Drosophila melanogaster: one gene and its partners. The protein of the gene in region 4 purifies or fractionates together with the protein of the main gene of each other region. This does not show direct contact. Each region holds a gene or a part of one and is shown on either strand. Other genes may lie near its edges.

What was found.
Region 1: the proteins of mtSSB (region 4) and Tango2 purify together in Drosophila melanogaster (affinity purification with mass spectrometry, with the first as the bait; one large-scale study listed by BioGRID). This does not show direct contact.
Region 2: the proteins of mtSSB (region 4) and Ho purify together in Drosophila melanogaster (affinity purification with mass spectrometry, with the first as the bait; one large-scale study listed by BioGRID). This does not show direct contact.
Region 3: the proteins of mtSSB (region 4) and TfAP-2 purify together in Drosophila melanogaster (affinity purification with mass spectrometry, with the first as the bait; one large-scale study listed by BioGRID). This does not show direct contact.

What each region holds. Positions count from the first base shown.
Region 1 is NC_004354.4:13,614,148-13,620,365, reverse strand, and holds Tango2 (transport and golgi organization 2), read right to left. Parts: upstream 3,378-6,218; 5' UTR 2,933-3,377; coding exon 2,791-2,932; intron 2,553-2,790; coding exon 2,430-2,552; intron 2,265-2,429; coding exon 1,964-2,264; intron 1,770-1,963; coding exon 1,313-1,769; 3' UTR 1,159-1,312; downstream 1-1,158. Other genes in the region: CG2691 (uncharacterized protein), read left to right, coding at 1-22, 94-628, 701-803; tth (toothrin), read left to right, coding at 4,386-4,690, 4,947-5,928. UniProt on the Drosophila melanogaster protein: May play a role in Golgi organization.
Region 2 is NT_033777.3:11,677,533-11,682,752, reverse strand, and holds Ho (heme oxygenase), read right to left. Parts: upstream 3,011-5,220; 5' UTR 2,883-3,010; coding exon 2,726-2,882; intron 2,670-2,725; coding exon 2,164-2,669; intron 2,109-2,163; coding exon 1,881-2,108; 3' UTR 1,777-1,880; downstream 1-1,776. Other genes in the region: CG6830 (uncharacterized protein), read left to right, coding at 1-224, 286-518, 578-1,068, 1,124-1,490, 1,551-1,765; Taf12 (TBP-associated factor 12), read left to right, coding at 3,540-3,809, 3,881-4,201; CG18476 (uncharacterized protein), read left to right, coding at 4,737-4,868, 4,936-5,220.
Region 3 is NT_037436.4:21,595,990-21,602,659, reverse strand, and holds the start of TfAP-2 (transcription factor AP-2), read right to left. Parts: upstream 3,805-6,670; 5' UTR 3,379-3,804; coding exon 3,322-3,378; intron 1-3,321.
Region 4 is NT_033777.3:16,202,766-16,208,242, forward strand, and holds mtSSB (mitochondrial single stranded DNA-binding protein), read right to left. Parts: upstream 2,486-5,477; 5' UTR 2,472-2,485; coding exon 2,451-2,471; intron 2,384-2,450; coding exon 2,296-2,383; intron 2,238-2,295; coding exon 2,129-2,237; exon of another isoform or gene 1,979-2,128; intron 1,924-1,978; exon of another isoform or gene 1,772-1,923; coding exon 1,549-1,771; 3' UTR 1,450-1,548; downstream 1-1,449. Other genes in the region: CG6126 (uncharacterized protein), read right to left, coding at 26-68; CG31287 (uncharacterized protein), read left to right, coding at 670-828, 883-1,185, 1,243-1,449. UniProt on the Drosophila melanogaster protein: Binds preferentially and cooperatively to pyrimidine rich single-stranded DNA (ss-DNA).

The DNA of each region.
Region 1 (6,218 bases), on a different chromosome or scaffold from region 4:
AAGTCCATTGGCAATGTGCTGAGTAAGTTGAAGTCGTTTGAAAATCGCACAAATCATCACTTTTTTTGTTTCTTTGCCTTTGCCCCACTCCAGCCAGTGGCTCCGCTCAAACGGCCACCCCTGCCCAGAGTCAAAAGACGAAAGCTCAGCTGCCGAACGGTGGCTTCAAGACTGCCGACGATGGACGCCTGATCATCAGCGACAAGGCACTTCGTGGCCAGGGCGGTAACGATCAGTCCGATGACGACTCGGATTCCGATGCATCCATGGCGTATGGCACTGTAGCCAAGCAGCCCAAGGTTAAGCGTGGCATGGAAGACGATTCGAGCGACGAAGATAAACTGCAGCAGAAGCTAGTACCCAAGCGTGTACGCAAGGGTGATGATGCGATGAGCATGAAATCGGGCAAAACCACTGCCAGTAGTCGCTACACTGCCGGTGGCAAGGGCATTCATCGACAGCTGACAGCTGGAAACTCGGATGCCATGTCCGTGAAGTCAGGCAAATCCACCAGCCGCCCAGCGGGCAGTGAGTACGGCAGCAAGAAGGCCAAGGGTGATATGAAGAAGAGCGGAAAACTGGATCCATATGCGTATATACCACTCACTAGGAATAACCTGAACAAGAGGTGTGTATCCAAAATGTTTAATATTATTAATATACCCGTCCCTATCTAATACTCCATCTCTTTCGCCCCCAGAAAACGTTCAATGAATTCGCGAAAATTCAAGAGCGTATTGCGAGGAGCTGGCGCTGAAAATGGAGGAGCCGGCGGTGGCCGGGTGTCCAAGAAATACAAATAGGGCAGACGATTCAAGCCAACTGGCTAACAGGCTCGTAAAGCTATAGAGATATAGAGATGTATAATAACACTGGGATAGTGCGGTCTGTTGATAAGGAAGCTAAGACGTTGATGATTATTTCCCCTGTTACTTTGCTTAAATATATAAATATAACTTAATATATATATATGAACATGTGGAGACGTTGTAAATGCCACAGATAAAGAAAAACAGAAACAGAATAGTTATGTATTTTTTTTTTTTTTTGTTTTGATCTGCAAAGACTTTGAATAAAGAATTTTGAAAGCAACATAGTTCGATGCGTGGCAGAAAGAAGAGCAGTAACGTTAGATTAAATCCACACAAGCTTTATGTTCTTTAAAGATATAGTAAATATGACTATTTATTATCGCAAATGCCAGAGTCAAAATACAGATTGGTAGAATATTAGCCAATTAGGTTATTCTACAAAAGAGGAAAGTCTTCGAACGAGATAGTTGCGTCAAGAAGTTGCGTCATCCTGTCCGTGGTCAAACGCCGTTTTGAAAATCCTTTTCAATGTGGGTCTTGTTCCATTCGCCGTGCGGATCCAATCCAGTCATTGTCTCCTCAATGAAGTGCATCTTATTCTCGCTGTCCACCAGGACAACGGAGTGTGTACGGCTGCCATAGGCATGCTCTTCGATATGGACGTTTAGGGAACTCAATCCCTCGCCCCAGTTGGGCGCACGTGTCTTTAGCTCGTCGTCCGGCCAGAATTTGTGCTTGTTGCGGAGCAACTGCATCAGCTGGGCGGACAGAGTCTCCACGCTGGCTTCCCCATGAGCCTTAACGATCGCCTCGAACTCCTGTTTGCCATGACGCACCTTCTCGAACGGAGAGTGCGGCAGACTGTTGCCAAATCCGTAGCACTCGCCGTTCTGGAAATCCTCCAGCGTGGGCGGCACATTGCTCAGCAGCTTCACGCGAGCGGGCTGGGATGCAGATCTGTTGAGAACGAAGGCGTGCAGTAGATGGTATCAATGTTTCGCTAATGGTTCCCTAATGTTATTGCATATTATTCAGAATTTATACGTATAATTCGGAGATAAAGACAGCATAAAGCAATATATGTACATACTAATATGCATATAATTAGAATATATAATAATTCAGGTTAACCTGAATGGGCGCAGACTCACCCAATTTCGATGGACACAAAGTTGAAGGCAGAATACTTGGTGCAATCTTTGAGCAGCCTTTCGTTGTAGTTCAGGATGCTGTGCTCCTCGTCCGCCCGGGTAACATAGTCCGCCACAATCATGCCGCGCCCTAGTAAGAAATGTTCGTTATTCGATTGCCCCCTACTCGGATTCGTATTCGGGTTCTGAATTGGATTCGGATTCGGATGACGGTAGCTGTTGGAGGTGGTGGTCTTGGGGCAAAGGTTAATGCCGGTGCTGTTGCTGTTGTGATTATGCGGTTGCAAAATGTTTTTGTGCGCTTCAAACAGAAAACAGAAACGAAGAAAGTTTGTTTTTGCTTTGCTTTTTCTTTGGTCGCGGTTGTGAAAGTTTTAGTTCGGGCCAAGTGTTAGGTGTATGGATGAGTGTGTGTGCGTGTGTGTGCGCGTCAATTTGGATTAGTAAGTAGCTCAAATGGGTTTACCAACTGCATCGCGTGGCTTGGGCTCGCCGGTCAGATTGAGCAGGGCGCCCACCTTAAAGAAGCCAGCGGAGTGGCCGATCGCCAGCCAGGTGCCGCCCTCGCGTCCCGGCTCCAGATCGATCCCTGAAATGGGGGAATACATAAATATTTACTCAAGTTGATCCCGCACTCATGGGTAAGATGGCTTGAAATCCAATTAGGTTGCTGGGAAACAGATCTTGTGAGAGGTGTTCATTCTAACAAACTGCTATCAAATCATCTTAGTGACTAAACTATAGGTAACATCTTGATGAATACAAGCTCTCAAGGATTATACTCCATCTAAGCATAGGCATTCAAGGGCATAAGCCCCACCACTTACCTCCGTAAACATGATCGGCATTCGCCCACTTGGCTGCCGATAGGGTGGCGCGGGCAAAGAACTCGTCCCGATTGGAGGCCAGGATGAGCTTGTAGCCACCCGGTTGCGGATTCGAGTCCGCACAAAAGAATATCACGCACATCGTCGGAATCCTATACTTATTTGGCTATTGTTGCGATTTGTAGTGCCTTGAGGTTGTGGGACAACTGCGAATGGGATCCGGAAAAGTGGGCTTTAATCTCGGTGGGGCGTCGGTATCAAAATGGCAGGTTGTTCGGCTCAGTCTTCTCTTTGTTACTTTGTGGCAGTGGAACTATAGCGCCGGTTTTATCACCAAATAGCCGTACGTACGTACAGCTGATATACAGTCTTATCCGTTGTTTGCGAGACCAGCTAATCTAAGTGGTAAATGTAAATGGTTTGGATTGGTGGGTGTTCTCTGTGAGCCGTGCCTCTATGTGATATATACATATCTACGGGGCAAAAAGCATTCCCGTTAACGCAAACAAAGCAGTATTTTCTGAAATTTCAATGACCGGGTTGCCTTGTTTTGATTTCTCTTTTAATTTTGTTTTTGTTTTGTTTTGGCGTTGCCAGCTGACAGGAGAATCGATAAGAAAATCGTTAACACTCTGCTGCCCTGTGCAATATTCTTTTAGCTATTTTATTAATTGCTAATTATTTATTTGTGCAGTCTATGACTTATCTTAATTTGTACTTTTAAATTTGAAGATTTTAGTTCCTCATCGTGCGCTGAAACAATGATTGACCAATATGATTGTGTAATTTATTTCCAAAGCCATATATAACGTATATATAAACATATTAGTTTTTTTTGTCGCCTGTGCCGATCCAGATAACAAACTACTATTTTGAAATTGGCGTAACAGGTAGGTAGGCATTATCGCCAGTTGCCCATCTCTATTGTATGACCGTGGGCCCGGCAATCGATTGGCTTACAACTTATCGATGTTTGAAAACTAACCAAAAACCCTGTAACATAGGCTTGTAATTAAAACTAGAAAATACCATTACATAGCTATGCACTGCAATGCATAAATTAACTAACAGACCTATACAGGCCCTTAAATTGGTAAGAAAACTGATCGCTAAAATTAAAGCGAAAGAGTGGATTTTTTAGGACAAAAATACCGGTCGGTCGAGAACATTTGGGGGGAAAATCATGTCGCCATCTGGTAACACTGGCATTCAGCAGAGCAGTGAAAACGACGTTAATATTTCTGATCAATTAAACAATTGGAAAATCCGGCCGCAGATCGCGATCTAAACGTATCGCCCTCGCCACGCCCACTGCCGCCCACGCCCCCTGGCGCGGGGTCACATCGATAGAGAGCTTTGCGTGTGTGTGTGTGTGCGTGCGTGTATGTGTCGGTCGAGAGGAGAGGTGGAAGACGAAGAAGAATAAAAAAAACAGGCAGCGAAAAGCGATAAGAAACGGAACACAACACACTGGAAAAAAATTGCGATAAGAAACGGGGCGGAGCGGAGCGGAAATTGCCAAGACTCTGGGATGGATTAGCGGCACAGCCGGACTCTGAGGTTAGCCAACAGTGGGATTAGGACCAGGAACAGCCATGTCCTCCGCCGTTAACATCCAGATCGTCTCTATGCCGAATCTGGCCAAGATCGAGAGCTTCCTGAAGGATGTCAGCTACCGGGAGACGATCGAGTACAGTGCCAACTTCAACACGCGCCTGTGCAGCGAACGGCGCCACCGGCTGCCCTTCCTCGATCCGCAGACAGGCGTCGCCCAGAACCACTCGCAGCTCTTCCTGGACAAGCGACAGCGGATGCCCGGCTTCCGGCAGGGCCAGATCTACACGTATCCGGCGGCCCGCTGGCGGAAGAGCCGTCGTCAGTACTTGAGCAAGATGTACAGGTGAGGAATCGTAACCAATCGGTGCGGGATTTGAGTGACTGGCACATGCACAAGGAAAAGTTAGGTATAACTCTGGCGAAGCAAATTAGAGCTTGGAAATCTAGGAGTCTGTTACCTATGGTAATCTTATTTAAAACGAGTTAGGTTAGAAGAATATCATCTGTGTATATGCCATTCAATCTCATCAAATCCTACATTTTTCGTTGGGTGAGCTCCATATTTATCCCTGCTAATAACGAACTTTCCACTTATACAGCCGCTTTCCCGAGCGTCCCTTCCAGGCGCTACGCAAGGAGCACGAAGCTCTGGTGGCCAGCGGCGTCAATCTGGGACTGAGCAGCCTGACCAGCGGTGTGGGCTCCATGCCCGGCAGCAATAGCCTGGCCAGCAGCTCCTCCCTAACGCTCAATATGCTTACGGGCGGCGGAGCCGCGCCGGCCGTACTTGGTTCCCTGCACAGTGACACTGCCCACGATTTTAATGGAGCCTTCAGCCTGGAGGAGTCCAGCTCGCTGGGTGCCGCCGGCGGTGATACATCCGACAGCAAGGACAGTCAACAGCAACAACATCAGCAGCACCAGCACCAGCAGCAGGCCGTCAAAGAGGAGCTTTTGCCCAAGGAGTGGTTCTACGATGACATGGATATGAACGATGTGGACTCGCTGGAGGAGCCCAAATCGCCGGCGGATGATGAGTACGATTATGATCCGCGCTATGGTAACAAAAAAAGGCGCAAGCGGCGACCAGGCAAGCGAGGTGGAGATTCCGGCGGCGGTGGTGGTGGAGGAGGCGCCGGCGGTGGCGGCAATTCCGGCGGTAGCTCCAGCTCGCGGAGACGCAGTGCAGCGGCCAGGTCGCGTATCACAACGACGGATGCGGCGCTGGACGCATCGCTGGAGGCCATTGAATCTGGCGAGAGTGTGCCAGGCAGCAATGGAGGACCAATCTCCAGCGGAGGCATCCTAAGCGGCAGCCTGGGAGCAGGCTTAGCGGGAGTTTCGGGATCCGGCGGCGGAGGAGGAGCATCGGGAGCTTCGGCCAACAGCCGCAGATCGCGGGGAGCGGGAACACGTGGCAGGCGACGAGCCAAGGGGCCAAATAGCGCCGTTGGAGCGTCTTGCGATCCGACAAGTCCCGGCATGGTCATCGAGCCACCATCCTTCGAGAGTGCCGCTGCTGCGGTGGGCGTGGTCGAGGACGCGAACGCCCATCTGCGCAACTATCGGAAGTATCTGTAACCGCTCTATCAGCAACTAACTGGACGTGTAATCAATCAAAGCCTTGTTTTTCGCAATGTTTTCTCGCCTATTGAATCGACCTACTTTTTCGCACATAATTTAAATATAGTTTTTAAGCCTTAGTTGATCACTGTTTGTTGCCCCCCTCCGACAAAAGGATAAAAGCCAAGCAAGAAATGAAAGAAAGGAAACAAATACATTGTGGACCAGGGACAGAAACAGGATTAGAATCAGGATAACGATCAGAACCGCGCACCAGGCCGTAGCCAATACAATTCCAATGTTTCGCC
Region 2 (5,220 bases), 4.5 Mb from region 4:
CACCGAACGCTCATCAAATACGGCGGATGGGTGCTATTCCCAACCATCTCCGTGCTGCCATTGGTTCTCTTGGACCCCACTCAGTCGGCCACATTCGATAATTTTATGTCGGACTCTGCTGATGGGGTTAGTTTCAGGGGTAGTTTGTATGCCAACAAACGTTGTCAAGAATACATCGAACGCATTCTGCCTTGGTTGGATAATAGAGGCTTCTTGGAGGTCAGGTAAATATATTCGAAGTTACATTTTAGCGAAAGATGAATATCACTTATAATACTTATCTAGCACTGACCCATTGCCACCCGAACTGCTGGCAGCTTTGAAGCCACAGCAGCCACAGCCGGAGAATACGGATCAGATCCCGGACTGGCTAAATATTGACGATTTCAAGGAAATCATTTTATCCGCGGAACCAAATTTCGAAAAGATCTTAAGCAGTACTTCAAAGTTGGCGACGAAACCTGGCGACAACTTTGCTTCCAAGCTGCTGAAGGTCGAAATCGAGGCGCAGTTAAAAGGTAAACTACTTTAAATTCTGAAATATTTAATATTATAACCAATCTTCTCACATCTACAGACAATAGCGTGAAGACCTTCTCGTACATCCTGAAAGTCCACAGCGACAATGACGCAATCAACTTCTCCGACTTTAACCTGTTTCCAAAAGAGATAGAGGTTTACAGCACATATGTGCCCGCCTTCGAGCGTTTCTATAAGGATGTTGGCCTACCAGTCACTTTTAGTCCGAAGTCCTTCCGGCTCAGCAAGGACGTCAGCAAGGAGTACCTGCTTTTGGAGAACCTGCAGCCGAGTGGCTTCAAGATGGTCGATCGCATGATTGGAATGGACTTGGAGCATTCCAAGTGCACGTTAAAGAAATTGGCCCAGTGGCATGCAGCCTCTCTGAAGTACAAGGAACTAAATGGACCCTATTCGCCCAAATACAATAATGGCATTTTTACAGAGCAAACGGCACCTATATTTAAGGGTATGTTTGTTAACACTAAGAAATCCTTTATAGAAGAAGTGAGCAAGTTTGACGGTGTGGATGAGTACTTGCACAAAATGGTAAGTCACTTTACTTTATTCCTTGTAACTAACTTAACAAAATCATATTTTGCAGCCAGAGATCTTGGATACGTATGTCGACAGAATACTTGAAGATGCCAAAATAAATGAACAAGCGTTTAATGTGCTCAATCATGGTGATGCCTGGATAAATAACATCATGTTCCAATACGAATCAGATGGTCGCGTCAAGGAAACCCTCCTGTTGGATCACCAAGTCACGAAGTATGGAAATCCTGCCCAGGATCTGTATTACTTCATAATGAGCTCCACTCAACTGGACATCAAAGTCGATCAGTTTGACTACCTTATCCGATGGTATCATCAAAACATGAAGGAGCACGCCAAGCTGTTGAACTACAACGGATTTATTCCCTCGCTAAAGGAACTGCACGCCATTCTGATACAGCACCCCATTTTTGGTAATTTACAGAAGGATTTGAGGTTTTTAAATTCCTCTGACTGACATGTTTTTCTTCAAGCTGCTGGAACTGTGCTCACTACCTTGTCGATGTGTCTTAACAAGACAACCGATGACTTTACCACTGATAGCTTTTTGGGAAATGAAGAGAATGGCAAATCCCTGAGGGAGGCAATGTTTAGCAACGAACGTTATAGGGCCAATATAGAGCGTGTCATGCCATGGATAAATAGACGAGGACTGCTTGATAATTTTGCCAACGGACATTCCCAATAAATACTTTACTTCAGACAAATTTCAGGTTATTTACTATTTAACAAACGACTAAATAAATGTGTGATCACAATTCTAACTTGCTCAAGAGAGCTTACATTTGTATTTCCTACTTTTCTTACTTGAGAGCAAATTTCACGGCCACTACAATACTTGAAACAAAGATTAGTGCGAGGGCCAGCTTCCTAAGATTGGCACGATTCACACCTTTGATGGTCCGTACTACTTCTATATTTAAGCGAAATACGTTGCGACTTTCCTCAATAAAAGCAGCACGCAAATCATCGTCAAAAGCTCCGTAGTGATTGTTGAAAACGCGCCTTAGTTTGGCCTTTAAGACAGAGATCTGAAAGTGGATATAAAGACAATAGATATAAGGAACAAAGTAAAAAGCTACGCACCTTCTCAGGAAAATATGTGGCCTCACATCCCGGCGGGCAAATGGTAACCTGGGCAGGCATTGGCCTGGCCTCCAAGTCGTCTTTGTCTACAGAGCCATCGGCAGCTCTGGCGGTGGCCAACTCTGCCTCCTTGTCGGCCTGCTTCTGCTGCTCCTCGTCATCGTTCTTTGAAAAGATCCACATTTTACGAGCGATCATACGCTTCTTCTGCAACATTTGTCCGCCGGACATCAAAGCCATGTACATCTGATAGGAGTAGGCGAACAGCAAGAGTTCGTTCTGTGCGGCAATCTTTTCCAGATGCTCGAGATATTTCTGGACCGCCGGGCGAATTTCGTAGTCCTTCCTCCAATCGGAACCGTAGAAATAGGCAAAATCCCTTTCAAATGCCGCTGTTCTGTGGAATTCTTTGGGCAGCAGGCGCTCCGGCAGATGGGTCTCAAAGAATTTGTACAGTTCGTAGAAGGCCAGGAGTCCATCATACCAGACCTCGTCATCAGAAAGGGCTATGGAAGAAGAGGAATATCTAATAACTTCTAATAATATCGTGTAATTAACGAACCAAGTGCGATCTTTGCATTCACTAGAACATCAGTAAGATTATGCACATCTTTTGTGGCTTTACGCAACTCCTTTGTGAACGCCATGTCTACGAATTCCACATCCTCCACATTCTCGGAGACCTGACTGTCCGCTATTGTTTCTTCGCTCGCTGACATGTTTCTTTTGCGCAGCTATTGTTCCCAATTACAAAGTAAAATATATTCCTTATCTACGTGATATTTGCAAAATACGCCGTCTTTGTTTTGTTTTGAACTCCACGCCAGTGTGGCTGTCTAACTAAAATATACTGAAATTAAACGTAAATATACCAAATTGCTTTATAGCACCAGCGGGCATTTCAGAGTCGCCTGCAACTGGCCATACTGTTGATTTGGCTGTAGTTGCTCCGCTTATTTTTATTTTGTTTAGTAATTTAGGAAAGTAATAGTTTAAGATCAAAGTGTTAAAACCGCAATAATTGTAAGTGTTGCATGCGCTAAGAGCAACTGCTAAGTAACACTTTAGTTTTAGTAAACACACAAAGCGACGGATTCTTAAGACCGCACGCGTGAAATTGACCACTCTATTCTTTTACTTACATTTCGCTTTGCAACCAAACACCCACGCACACACAATCACCGACTGCAGTTGAGAAAGCAGGAGGACACACAACATAAGCAGCAACAACAACAAGTACACTAACGCTTTTGGCTTTGGTTCTGCACTCTTACCCACTCCCCAAAAATCCGCCCAACTTACTGTACTTTCCCCAAACACTTCCAACCAACCGACCTACCACCCACTTGATTTGACTCTGAAGAAACCCAAAAGCAATGTCGGATCTCTTTACCACTTTCGATAGCAACGGCGTCGCCGAGCACCACCTGCACCACAACCACAACTCCACATCGTCCGCCAGCGGACTGCTCCACGACCCACCCATGGCCTCGCCCTCCCAGCACAGTCCGATGACCAACAACAGCAACTCATCCTCGCAGAACGGCGGACCGGTTTCCGGTTTGGGTACGGGAACGGGCCCCATATCTGGTGGTAGCAAGTCATCCAATCACACATCATCCGCCGCCGGTTCCGAGAACACTCCCGTAAGATGCGTGCCTTATGGAGTGCACACGGAATACGCCAGGGTCTAGTTTAACTCTCTTCCGAATTACAGATGCTTACCAAACCGCGTCTCACAGAGCTCGTCCGAGAGGTGGATACCACCACGCAGCTGGACGAGGATGTTGAGGAGCTTCTGCTTCAGATCATCGACGACTTTGTCGAGGACACCGTCAAGTCGACGAGCGCCTTCGCCAAGCACCGAAAGTCTAACAAGATCGAGGTGCGCGACGTGCAGCTGCACTTTGAGCGGAAGTACAACATGTGGATACCCGGCTTCGGTACGGACGAACTGCGTCCCTACAAGCGGGCAGCTGTCACGGAGGCGCACAAACAGCGCCTTGCCCTCATACGGAAAACGATCAAGAAATACTAGAGGATTGGATCTAATCGGGTCGAGGCTCTGTTTCGGTTTGCCGGATTTCGCGTATGCTAAACGTGCACACGCCACAAACTAATTTAAGCTCCAATTTAGATTAAATAACAAATTATCGTCGCTCTATTGTAGATTTATTGTAATAAAAGTGCACTATTGATTTCACATTCAACAATTGGTCACCGTCAGCAGTAAATTTTAAGTCGTGATTTTTTAATCACAGTTTCTAATGGTTCTGTAATATTTGTATTAATTGTTTGTCTGGTGGATATTGATTTATATTTTTCATAATTTAACAATTTCTTCAGTTTATTTTAAAAATATTTGTGTAATATTTCCCTTTGAAAATAATTAGCGGACTCTGCTGAACGCACCCAATTAATTGCTGTATTTTTTAACAACGTGGTATTTTTTTAATGACCGAACGGTATTTTCCATCTCTCGCATCAAGGTCATACCATCAATAATGTTGATTTTCTGATTGTTGATTTAAAATTAAAAAAGCTTTCAATTGGCCAAAACAAATTTGTTCGCCATGAAGCTGCCGGTGATTTGTCGCACGTGCGACTCCACGGACACCGACAACCTTCTGAAGCTGGCCACGCCCTCGAAAAAGTATCCGGACAAGTTGCTTTCGGAGATTTTATGCGAGCTAACCGAAATCAATGTAAACAAAGTTCTAAGAAGCGAAATCTACGAAAAATGCAAACTAAAATGAAACATTTACCTTTCAGCTGGATGCAACTGGTAGTCAGAAATTTCCGCAATGCTTGTGCAGTGGATGCACCAAAAAATTAATGGGTGCCTATTGCTATGTGAAGCAGGCGATGGCCGCCAACGAACTTCTAATGAAGCATCTAAAGAACGGTGCTGCTCCAACGTCAACCGACTGTCTGCAGGAGGCGCCGATGGAGCTGTGTGCTGAGCAGCATGTGGAAGTCAAGCTGGAGACTGAGGATGAGGACTGTGGCGAAAATGATGTTACTATCACTTGTTCCGAACTACCGGAACCGGACGAA
Region 3 (6,670 bases), on a different chromosome or scaffold from region 4:
GCGTGCAGATGACGAATAGAAGAACGACGAGCCGAAAGTGCCCACTTGGCGACCATGCATGTGCACTGCGAGAAAAGGTCGAGAGTGTTGTAAGAGAACCACTTTGTTTATGGGCTGCTGTATAGTATGCAAATTATACGATATGTTACATGAATCTCCGTATATAGTATTCACTACTAATTATACATAGGACTAAGGTTACTTCGTTCTGCAAATTGAAATATGACCATGCGATAAACTTACATATATGTATTGCTTTTTAATACTATATTATACTATTATAAGATAAACAAGAAATATTGGAAACTATGATTACAAGAACTCCACATGCACTGGCATTGTGATCTCCTTTTGAGCTCCTCACAACCCAATGATTCTCCCTGTGTAGCTTCTTCCGAACTCGACTGAGCTAAGCTCGGCTCGTCCGTTTGCAATCTGCGTCCAAAGGGCCGGCTTTCGATGCAGCAGCCTCGTGAGCCAACTGCAGGTCTGGCCTCCCCATCCTCCACATTCTGCCTCCGAGGAGGCAAGGCCAACGCATGTCGGCCAACCGATGATTTCGCTCTTGCCTTGGCTTTTGGCATCGGACGAGGATGTGGATGTGGTGCTTTGCACGGCTTTGGTTTTGGTTTTGGTTTGCCACGAGCCTAACACACGCCGTCCACATCGTCGAGGTTCCGACACTTGATTCTGGATTGTGCTGAGGATCTTGGCCACGTTATGAACATTTACATTTATCTTGCCAATCAATTTGGTTTTGTTTGGACTTTTTAATTTCCTCTCCGCAAATGAAATCAATTTTGATGCGTGCATATGCAATTCCAGTTTCCTCCGAGGATGTATCTGCATGTCTGTGGAAGCGGAAATGCCTTCCAGCGGATGCAAAGGACTCGGAATTATCTCGCCCGCACTGGCGAAATAATAAATATGATATGCGAATATGCAAATATGAACACGGATCGGTCTTACACTCTGATCCTATCGAAATTGTTTCATTCATCTTATTGCGAGTTTCCTCTAGTTCCATTTATATAATTTACTTTTAATCAAGACTATAGTATTCCTGCATCTGGAAGTGGGGGAAAGTTTAATGGCGCTTATTCATTTCTTTATGCAATCCCTAGCCCTGCGCACAATTACCATACCAACATGCCTCGCAATCCTACAAAGTGCACATTGTAAATTGGAACAATTATTCTAAATTATAAAGAAATTATTCAATAAATCATAAGGGAAGCCATCAATCAGGCTTTGAGCCCGAACCTCTTGGATGAAACGGAGTTTGGCTAATAAATAAGCCCAATGCTGAATACTTTTTGATATTTGGGAGCTGGGCTATGGGAACTTTTCTGCCAGTCTGTATGGCATTCTTTTTTTAGTTGGCGATCGCACGCAAATTGACGATGCGTTGCGCTTCAATCTCATAAATTATTTTGGCAACGCATCACGCGAGTGTCCCAGTGGGATCTTACCTGATTTGGGAGTCTTCGGAGTGCCAGGGACAGGTCCAGGACCAGTACCAGGACCAGCCAAACCAAACCAAACCAAAACCAAAGCTAATGCCAACACACTCGACATGCCCACTTTGCTGGCGGGACTCGGATTTTTGTGGGCGATGACTTTTGGTCTACCTCTTCGCTGTGTTTTTGTTTTGATCTTTGGCCCTTGCCCCGCAAATTGCCCTATTTTTTTATCGGGCATCGAAAAAGTTCTTGGAAGCAAGAACACCATATAATTTCGCTAATTAAATGGGGGAGCGTGTACCCACGCATTTCAAGAATTCCTCCATATTCGCATTTGAATTTTGACCACTGACGTCTGATCACTCCCACCGCCGTCACTTTTTGCTCTCTGCCTCGAAATCGTGAGTGCATTAAATGTAGGACCTTTTTTACTTTCAGATACGGTTTCCCTCCCATAACGCACATATTTGAAACAGCCAAACCGCTTAATTTGAGGCTTATGTCTGATGATACAAATACTAATACTAAGAGTACAAATCTTATAGAGACTTTAATCGAAATAACATAGAAAGCATAACATGGCTTTCTCTCTTGGATTTACATTTACAGTTATAGATATTATAAACGATCAAAGACTGTAAATATTGTACGATAAATTTGTATATGAAATTTAAAAGAAGATTAAAAAGATTTCAAGAATCATTACTCTAAAAACAGTGGACTTCATACACATACATATACATATGCTAGCTACAGTTTTAAGGTTCGTCTTTCCGACGGCTACTTTTGCCGTCTTAAAAAATAAATGATTCCAAATTGCCCGTTCAAAAAACAGAATAAAATTAAAAATGAGTGCAACTAACATTGCATCCTTTAAGGGTATGTTTCTCAATTACAAGTAAATAAAATAAGTTAACAGACCCATTGGCTTTTTCAATAAGATTTTATATTCTTTAGTCTTGTCGCCCTATAATATTTGAATAGAGAATTGCATTTAGTAAAGAGTTTTCAGCCCAAGAAAACCTATAAGGATACTGGGAAACTAAAATTAATACTTTGATACTGATCGAACATTACCTAATCTGAATACGAATATGCACATTTGATTTCGATTTGGTCCATTTGTGTCCAATGCATCTCGACTAGGATAACAAAAAAAGCAAACTGACTTCTTGAATGTCTGATTACCATAAACAAACACCGTTTGTATTCAGGTTTTAGATCCTGACTTTAATAAAATTTTTAAATAGACTCCTTGAGGTTTAAGACTGCCTACTTTAAAAAGTCAATTTAAATTTGAAGATGCATTTTCAAGGTTTAAGACCTCTAATTACAAGAGAATTGCATGCGCCTGTGATCGCAGTCTGCTTTCGGGGCCCCACACCCTCTTGGGCACTTGAGTGATCCCCGGACTCTTGGAGTGGGCACAATCAGGTTGAAGTTTATGTACTTATTATTCCCAGAGCAGAGTGTGCCACACGGAGTCGCAGGAGAACCCATTACTGTAAATTGCTCATTGATTTTGCTGCTAGAATGGCCCGGAATGGTAATCAGCTTGTGTGTGAATGTGAATCACGGGCGCAGATCTCTCGGTCCGGATCGCTGGCCAATGGTCGTAATTGGCCAATGGTTTTAAGGCTTGCGTGCCCCAAAATGCCCAAAGAAATTTCAGTGTCAATCAAGCTCGTCCGCCCATGGGCACTCGATGGTTCAATATCTTTGAGTATTTTGAGTAGCTAAAGCTGCGCCGATGCTCGGGCGGGGATTAGCCTGGGCAGATTTCGGCTGACAGACAATTTGGATAGATAGACCCGACCCTCCTCCGATCGAAGTATCCTGCAAAAGGCGCGCAGCTTACCATCATGAACTTCTGATCCTCGAACTGATGGTCGTTGGTGCGGTGTAGAATGTGCATGTTGATCCAAATTAGACGGCGATATCAACTAGTTGGAGAGCATAGGTTTTCTTTTGAACACTTGGGCCAGGGCCAATGCAAAACAGGTACGATCACTAAATAAGTATTTATTGAAAATCGATTTTTGGCACTGGTTAAGGCAACTGTGGGTGCTGGAGCTAGAGTTCCGTATCCGCCGCTATATACACTGCACTCTCCCCGATTGAAGGACAATAGACGTGATTTAATTGTATTTGAACTAATTTGCAGTTCGGATCCACGATCGTTTCGGTTCGGCTAGGTGCGGATCGGTTCGGAACGGAACGGAGCGGTTTCGGTACGGTTTTGGTTCGGTACGGTTCGGTTTGGTTTGGTTTGGTTAATTAAGCGAGGACCCGCAATCGAAATTCCGCCTTTGCGCAGCCACCAGACGTAGTTCTCGACTGAAGTTGGATTTTCTGGTTGGACGCAAAAACCTTCGGGGGATGTGCGATGTTGCCGCTGCTGCTGCGGCGGCGGCTGCTGCTGCTGCTGCTGCAGATGCTGCTGCTGCCGCGGCTGCTGCCGTTTTTTCTCCCATACAGCTGCGAAATACATAGGAAAAGTGCCCAAAGCCTATGCCCGTGCGCCGCGCGTCTGTATGGGTGTGAGGCGCACACAGATACGCCGGGCAAGCAGGTTTTCTGGCTTTCGGGCATCGAAGAGCGGCTTCCGAAGAGAGCCCGCCGCCCAAAGAGAGCACAGCCATTTATATTTCGGAAGCCACGCCCCGCCAGCGGACTACTAGACAATGGGCCGAGCCCGAAAACCGAAAACCCAGAGGCTGCGGCAGGCAGCGCAGCTCGCGTACAGACACACAGATGCGGATACACAGCCACACTGCCAGATGCGGATGCTCGCGAGATGCGAGTGCGATACGGATACGAATACGAATACATAGGGGTGGAATCGCATGCGAATGGCCGGGGTTGGCGACGCACCCGTGCCCCGAGGGTTGCTGGATCTCTGAGCCCGGGCTGCTACTGGGAAAACCCCGGCATTGGACGCCCAAATCGCCAGTGGTACGTGCTCCGGGTTCTTTCTTCTCTCGGGGATTAAGCGACCCACCTATGTATGTATGTATCTACGTACTTATCGAACGTTCGGGGGTTGCCATGTGAAAGAGGCTGTCCGCCCGATTTACATATTCTACATAAAAATCTACCCATATATGTAAGGGCGTGAGTGTGGGTCCTTGCTCGCCATAATCAAAACAAACTGAAAATAGCAGATTTTTATTTTTTCTATGGCTGTAGCTTTCGAACATTTGAGGGTAAAATTTTTGTAAACGATTAAACAAACGGAAAATCAACAGCAGGCCACTTCGCATGCTTAAAGATTTCTAATTTACAAATTCCCTTTTATATATAACACGATAGAGGAACTTAGGACAATTAAAGCACTCTTTAAAATTAAAGGTTCACTATAAACAAACTATTTTGGCTTGCCAATGAACTTATAACAAGCAAACTTCTTACTTGTGTCCCGCTTTAATAACCTTTATCTAAATAGTATAGTTAGTTTTACAACGATTATAATTAAAAAAATCGAAACAAATCAGAAAATTAATTTAAGGACAGGTGCTTCACAACTTCAAATCAGGAACACTATTATGTTTCACTAACTTCAGAGCTATAGAAGTTACCCATTCTGATGTTTTTTAAAATTAAATATTGATAGTTAACTAATTAGTCAATTATTTGTTAGATTTTTATAAGTACTTCATGAAACAATTATAATAATAACAAAAGTCAACGACTTTTCATATGCGAAGCCATAAAAATATAGTAATAGAGATGAAAATAAGGAAAAATTTTGGATGGCAAGAAAATCGATTATATGATATTGTTAAGGCATCGAAATACTTTTTGCAAACTTTAGTTCATTACTCAAACTCATGAATATAGCAATAAGGTAATGAAACATACTGAAAATTCTTATTCGTCAATATTGTTTTGTGTCAAACTATCCAAAAATATGGACTTTGCAAAAAAAGTTTAATCAATTAACATAAAATACAACCATTGCCACCGTTTAGACCAGCAGACCTTTTTATAAGTTACATGTGTTAGTAGGCCATAGAAATCAACAAAGTTGGTTAAAGTGTGAAAGTTGGGTTAAAAAGGCGCTGACTTAGATAAGTCTTGAGCACCAGGAATAAATCTTTAGTATCAACGTGGTGTTCTGTATGAATCTCCATCATTTGAATTCCTTGTTCTATTAACCACGCTGAAAAGCTGAAAGTAAGCGTCGCAATCCTCAAGAGACATTCATTTCATTTATTCCTGCTTTGTTTTCAGGTTACACAATTAGATCCGCCAGTAAGCGGGACAAGGATTAGCGGCTGTGGAAAATTGAATCACTCGGCGGATTGCCCAACCCGAGCTTTGAATGTTTGTCCGCCCCAATTGAATTATGCCATTAGCTTTCTAAGTGACTCAAATGGATTCGGGCTCCTATCTTCTGTTGCCAGGGGAGCAGAGCAAAGTTCAGCCGAGAAAGAAGGAGCGAAGCTCGGAGGAAAAGTATATCGGGCACGCAGTCATTAAGTCCGAATTTGTGGCAGGGCGAAATGAGATGTGAAACCGTGATCTCGCCGACTGCACATGCACATTATGTACGCGGAGCCACTCACGAAGCCACCTCGGAGGAGCTGGCCAAACAGTAAATTTCGTGGAGTGGAGTGCAGTGGAGTGGAAGCGGCGATCAGGTGCATTATCCAATTGCGGCGGTGGAATGCCGGACGACCCACCTCCATTTCAGCGATTTCATTGCGGCGGCACGACTTTTGATTGCGGCCACGACAAGAGAACGATCGATCGATCCATCCATCCATCGATCGATCGATCGATGATCGGTCCGCCATTTTCAGACCCGATTCGGATGCCGAGGCAAAGCCAAAACCGATACTGATACGGATACTGATACTGATGCACTGCTCGCATTACCAATTAATTCCCAGTCCTCCCCGCAGCACCGGGCATAAATCGTGATGCACAGTGGTCCGTGTGCCCATGGTAAATGCACCCAAGTACACCTCTGTGCAACTACCAACTACCGACCCGCACACCTACACCATTGCAGCCACAATTACATCCACGTCCTCATCCACATCCACATCCCAACCCATACCAGTGCACTCCCGAAAATGGCAGCTTTCTTTGAGCCAGTCATAAGCTGGCTCTTAACCGGGAGGCTCCTAACCCAAGAGCCGAGGAGCTGGGGATCGCAACTGCCCAAGAGTGGAGGACTCGGCCTGAGCACCTCATTTAAG
Region 4 (5,477 bases):
GCTCCCAAAAGCCCATTCCACTCACCAAGTTTCCCCATCAGGTCCTCCAGTACATAATCCACAGCCATGTTTGATTTTTTATTGATAATCAAAAATAAATGAAAGTAACTGTTTGCTATTGCTTCTTAACAAATCGTCATCTTCTGCAGAAGTGGAGCATGTATGAATGGCACACCAGTGCAGCACTGCTGATAGTTACGGGTCGCGAAGATGCAAAACGAATCCGGGATAAACAACGTGCTCGAGTGAAACAAAATCGCAAACGGAGCGCTCGATCAGCTATCAACTCTTCCGACCGCCGGCAGCATTTGAACTGGCAAAAACTAACTGCGAACTGTGTCGCTCAGCGAGAAAACTGAGTGGTAAATGGCGATAAGGTCGCTCCAAGCTCGCGAGCGAAGAGAGCTTGTGGAGGTCTCCAAAGTTGGGAACTAAAGAGCAAACTCTGCTCGAGGGTAAGAGCTTCAAAAACTGTAATCACCATTATAATCCTTGATGTATGAAAATAAATGATGCCTCTTGGCAAGGATCCCTTAGATTAGAATACGATCAGAAAACTCATACCTTAGCAAGCTTTGATTTGCCTAACACTCAGTGACAAACAAAACATAAGTCACAAAAACACATACAAAAAATACATAAAATTCATTTAAAGTTAATTTTAAAATTATGTGTGAGCCAAACTTATCAGATCCGTCGACATTCCTGTACTTGGATATGCTGGCGGATATTTTAATGCAGGACAGCCTTGAAATGGAATCAGATTTCAATACCAAGTTAAAATTTCTTAAGGAACAGGAACAAATTTGCCTAGACAATGCCAAAAATGTGAGACTCAATGGCCATAGGCAAACAGGATATAAATTTTTCATACTCCAACAGGCACTTCCCATCGATGATACCCTGAGATCAGTAAAGTGCACCATGCTTAGGGTAGAAATGGAGCTGCATGAAAACGAGATTAACCTTATACAGGCGGAGAAAGCAGTTACGAAATTGGAGCAGAGCTATCCGAGTCCTGAGAGTCTGGCAGGCCAAGTGTTTCCTTTGGCAAGTACCACATATCAGGATTTGCTGAGTATGCTGATGTCTTCGAAAAAAACAGTCGATCATTGCAATCAGATCAAAGAGGAGGTCGCGACGTATAATGAGCAGATATCCGCAAAAGTACCTTCCGTAAATTTGGTATGAAATGATGACTAAAAGTTGTATTTAGAGTTTCTAAAGTGAGTGTATCAACAGGTAACCAAGCTTATCGATTACCACAATAATACACTGGAGTCTATGGAAAAAAATATCGAAAAATTGAAGAGCCAGGTCACACAAGTTCAAAAGGAGTTCGAGCAGCTTTATAACGAACATGCACGCCAATTCAACGCACCGTTCCCATGCAAAAAGGTCAAGGAGTTAAAACCAAAAGACACATGTGGAGTACGACTACGCATGTAATCTGATAACACAATATATCCAACGAATATTATAAATGCTTACAATGCTGCAAGTTCAACTTTTCGCTTAAGATTAGGTTTGGTGATCTGGGCTTAAATTTTAGTTGTTGGCATCACGGAAAAACAACACATCGTCGGCTATGATACTGGTGCTAGTCTTCTGGTTGCCCTGCTGGTCGGTGATCTCTCCATAGGTGATCTTTCCCTGCACCATGGTTCGCTGTCCCTTCTTCAAGTATTCCAGCACGGTGTCACGCAGATTGGGCTTGAACACCACTACACGATGCCAGTCGGTGCGTTGGGCCCAGTCGCCGTTCTCATATCTGTGGGGAAATATTTAAGACTTCATGAATGCTTTTTAAATGAAATGGTAGCTATTTTCTTTATGAAATCCGGCATTTCATGGATCCTAAGAAGAAATTGATCACTGAAGTTAATTGAACAAGGAAATGTACACTATTGCCGTTATCATTAGGTAATTACATACAGCAAATGTTCTAATAACTCATTACATAAATCTGAATTAGCAGCTCAACGTGATATTTTCTTGGAGGTTAAGGCTAAGAACTAACTTAATTGTCAACATTTATGTAGCTTTTTTATTTCCCTCCTCTGAGATGTGATTTCAAGTTCAGTTGCAGACGCATGCTGGGCGGCAAAACGCACACAAATGCACTTACTTGTAGTTGGTGTGTGTAGCAACCGAAAAGGTGACCACCGGATGCTCCTGGGATCCACGCAGCTGCGGATCGGCGCCAACTCGTCCCAAAATGGTCACCGTGTTGACAGCTGTGGTTATTTATTCAAAATTAATTCAATTTCATAACTAAACCTAAGAAATACTCACTTTTTTCAACTTTGGCGGGAGCCGCTGCCGTTGTTGTTGTTGCCCCGCGTGCCGGCAAATTTCGCAGGCCGGTCAACAGAGGATTCAGCTAAAAAAAATAACATGTTTGTTCATTGTATTTTGCAATTTACCGGCTTTTTAATAATATTACTTACCATGCGCCTTGTGTGTTGCATCTTGATTGTATTAATAAAATATCGATGTATCGATGATATTTACGATATGTAAACTTTTATCGCGATAGTTTTTAATACGAAATATCGCATATCAACATTATTTCTTATTTTATATATTGACTTGAAATGCTACTCGCAAGTATATAAAAAAAATGTTTTTTTATTATTATTTATTAATTTTGGTGTATAAATCCGCTTTTGGAGATTGAATTCGCCACACGGAGTGAATTCGCCGCATATTGTCCCTTGCGGAATACAAAAGAAACTATCTAGTTCAATCATAGGCCAAAAGAGGACGTTAGCGGTCAGCTGTGTATAGTTCAAAATAACAGCCAAAGGTGGCGATGATACTACATTGTATAGTTGCTTATTTCAACCAAAAGGTGGACGCACACTAAGCACAACTGATAGTAGGCAATTTCCATTAGTTCACCATCTCAATAAGCAAATGCTGAGGGCGCCACTGTGACCTCTTTGATTAAATACTTAATAAATTAAGTACTTATTTCATTTAAAATAAGCTAAGGGTTAAGAAAAAGAAGAAATATCAATGATTTCATATCAATGTAAGTTGAATAAGCTGGACATGTAGTGTTTTCGGTACAATTATAATGTTTAGAAAAATAAACTTTATTTAAATTTGTATGCACGCAAATTGTTTACATTTTTCATAATATAAGAAATTTTACTTTAGTTCCCCAACCCCTTAATTTGTTTTTTATTCAAGAATATACTATCAAAAAAATAGTATACAGTGTGCATCTAAACATTCACTCAATAACGCAAATATAATGCACAAAGATTTCAACTTTACAACCTCGAACAGGATGCAAGAAAGACAGCTTAAGCTCGCTCCAACCACGAGTAGTCATCATCTTGGCTTTTTTGAAAATTAGTTACCGGCTGGCGGCTTTGTTTGAGCTGCAGTTGCTGAGGAAGAAGAGCGAGCGGACAAGTGTCCGTTAGTCGGGTGCTAATAAAAACCTGGACACCCGAGAGGCGTCCCCGAAACGGAGCGGAAGAACAGAATCACCATTTTTATATTCGCATTGCTCTCGAGCCGATGCTGCTGCAATTGCTGCAGCATCAACAGCAACGACAACATCACAAGCAGCAGCAGCAGCAGCAGCAGCAGCAGCAATTGCAGCAAGAGCTCTCTGCAACTCTCGAGTTTGCATTCAAATTCAGCTCAGGCGATGAGGATGACGACACACAGTCCGCGTCGATGTAGCTGCCCCAAGAAAATCATATTGCCGTCCAGAGTCTCTTAACTGCCCTCCATCTGCGTCACTCGAGCAATTCTGCGGAGCTGATATAATGCTGCGCAGATATCGCGGTGGATTCCCACTTATTAATCATATCGCGATATGTTACTGCAGAATTTACTGTATTCTAGGAAATTTTGAAATGGGCGTGTTACATATTATTTCAATCGGATCGAAGTTAAATTTTTGAAAATTGGGCCGTTATTGCTATAAGATTTCTGTTTTCGAATATTTATTCCGTGAATCAAATGTTTGTATCTTTTTATACATTCCCAAAAATATTTTAGTTTTTCCCCCAATGCCTATATATTTATATTCAGTTGCTACCTCAAAAATAAATAGATTTTAAAGTGTTTGCATAGAAAACATTGGGTTATTTTAAAAAAACCACCTAAGCCTATATCAGAGTTAACTCATTTCAATGGCGCGCTTTTTGAAAACCCAGATTTCCTTCATGATTGTTCCCCAAAAAACATTTGCCCAACAAGATCCAACCCCATACTTTTGTATTCTAGCCCTCCGTCCGTATCTATATCTGCAGTCGTAGCCAAACCGAACACGGAGCATTGTGCCCGTCGTTGAATCCAGTGCGCGTGTTGCTGCGACTCTATATAAATATACATTCGTACATATATGTATGTATGTACGGGGCGCACTCATATAGGAGGTTTGTGTTGTTGCTGCCCGGCCTGGCACTGTATCTGTATCTATACACGAGCATGTGCGCTCGTATCTGTATCTGGTGTTTGGGGCTCCGGCTCTGAACGCTCCGCACCGCGATACCAACAAAAACGAACGACGGAACGTACCAGGCAAACGAACCAGCGAACCAACGAACGAACGAGCGAACGTCCCAAATGTCGCTGCTTTTTCTATATTTTCAGATTGTATAGTAGCACGGCTATAGAGGTTGGCGGGTTGGAGGTACTGAAGTGGTTGCTGCTGCTGCTGCTGTTGTTGCTATTGCTGATGATGTTGCTGTTGCTGTTGCCGTTGGCGTTGGCCTGGCTGACTGGGCTTGTCGAGGACGTTCGCTAGATGGCTGACTGGGTTGGCCTGGCCGGCTCTTTGGCTCTGCCGTGCTGTGTGCGTTTGCGTGCCAAAAAGCGAGCGATGGCAAAATTCATATGTGCGCCTTATAGTTAAACTATAAACGGCAGCAGCATTCCGGCAACTTGCAATGCTGCCGCGGTCACTGGCAATAGCACTGTTTGCTGTTCAGTGCGAGACTGCGCAAAAGGAGTCGAGCCCCGTGGCCAAAGGATTAAAGTCATCTAGAAGACTAAAAAATTTTGAGTCAAGGGGATCGCAGTGATGCGTGTAGTAAAGTCTTTGCCTAATCATATATCATATATTATCTATTACCTGTTTTTAAATATATAAGTTGCAATATTGTTAAGCAAATACTACACCAAATACCTAATAGCCTTAAAACCTTTACTCATAACATGATTTCTAGACATTATAAAGATTACACTGGTACAACTGTAATCGCTTTAAAGAAGCAGTTCGAAACCCTCAGCATTTAACCCCCAGAACTCGGAACCATCCAATTCCAGCAAGTTGGGCAATTTTAACCCCACGAACAGCACCAATCGAGTCACCGCCTCGAACTGCATCGCGAGCTGACTGCGCACAAAATTTAACCAGAAAATTTAACAGAGCAGCAGAAACTGAGACCCCAAAACCGAACGAATGGCTCGCATTAAAGTTTATTTCGAAACCGAGTCGCAGGCAGAGC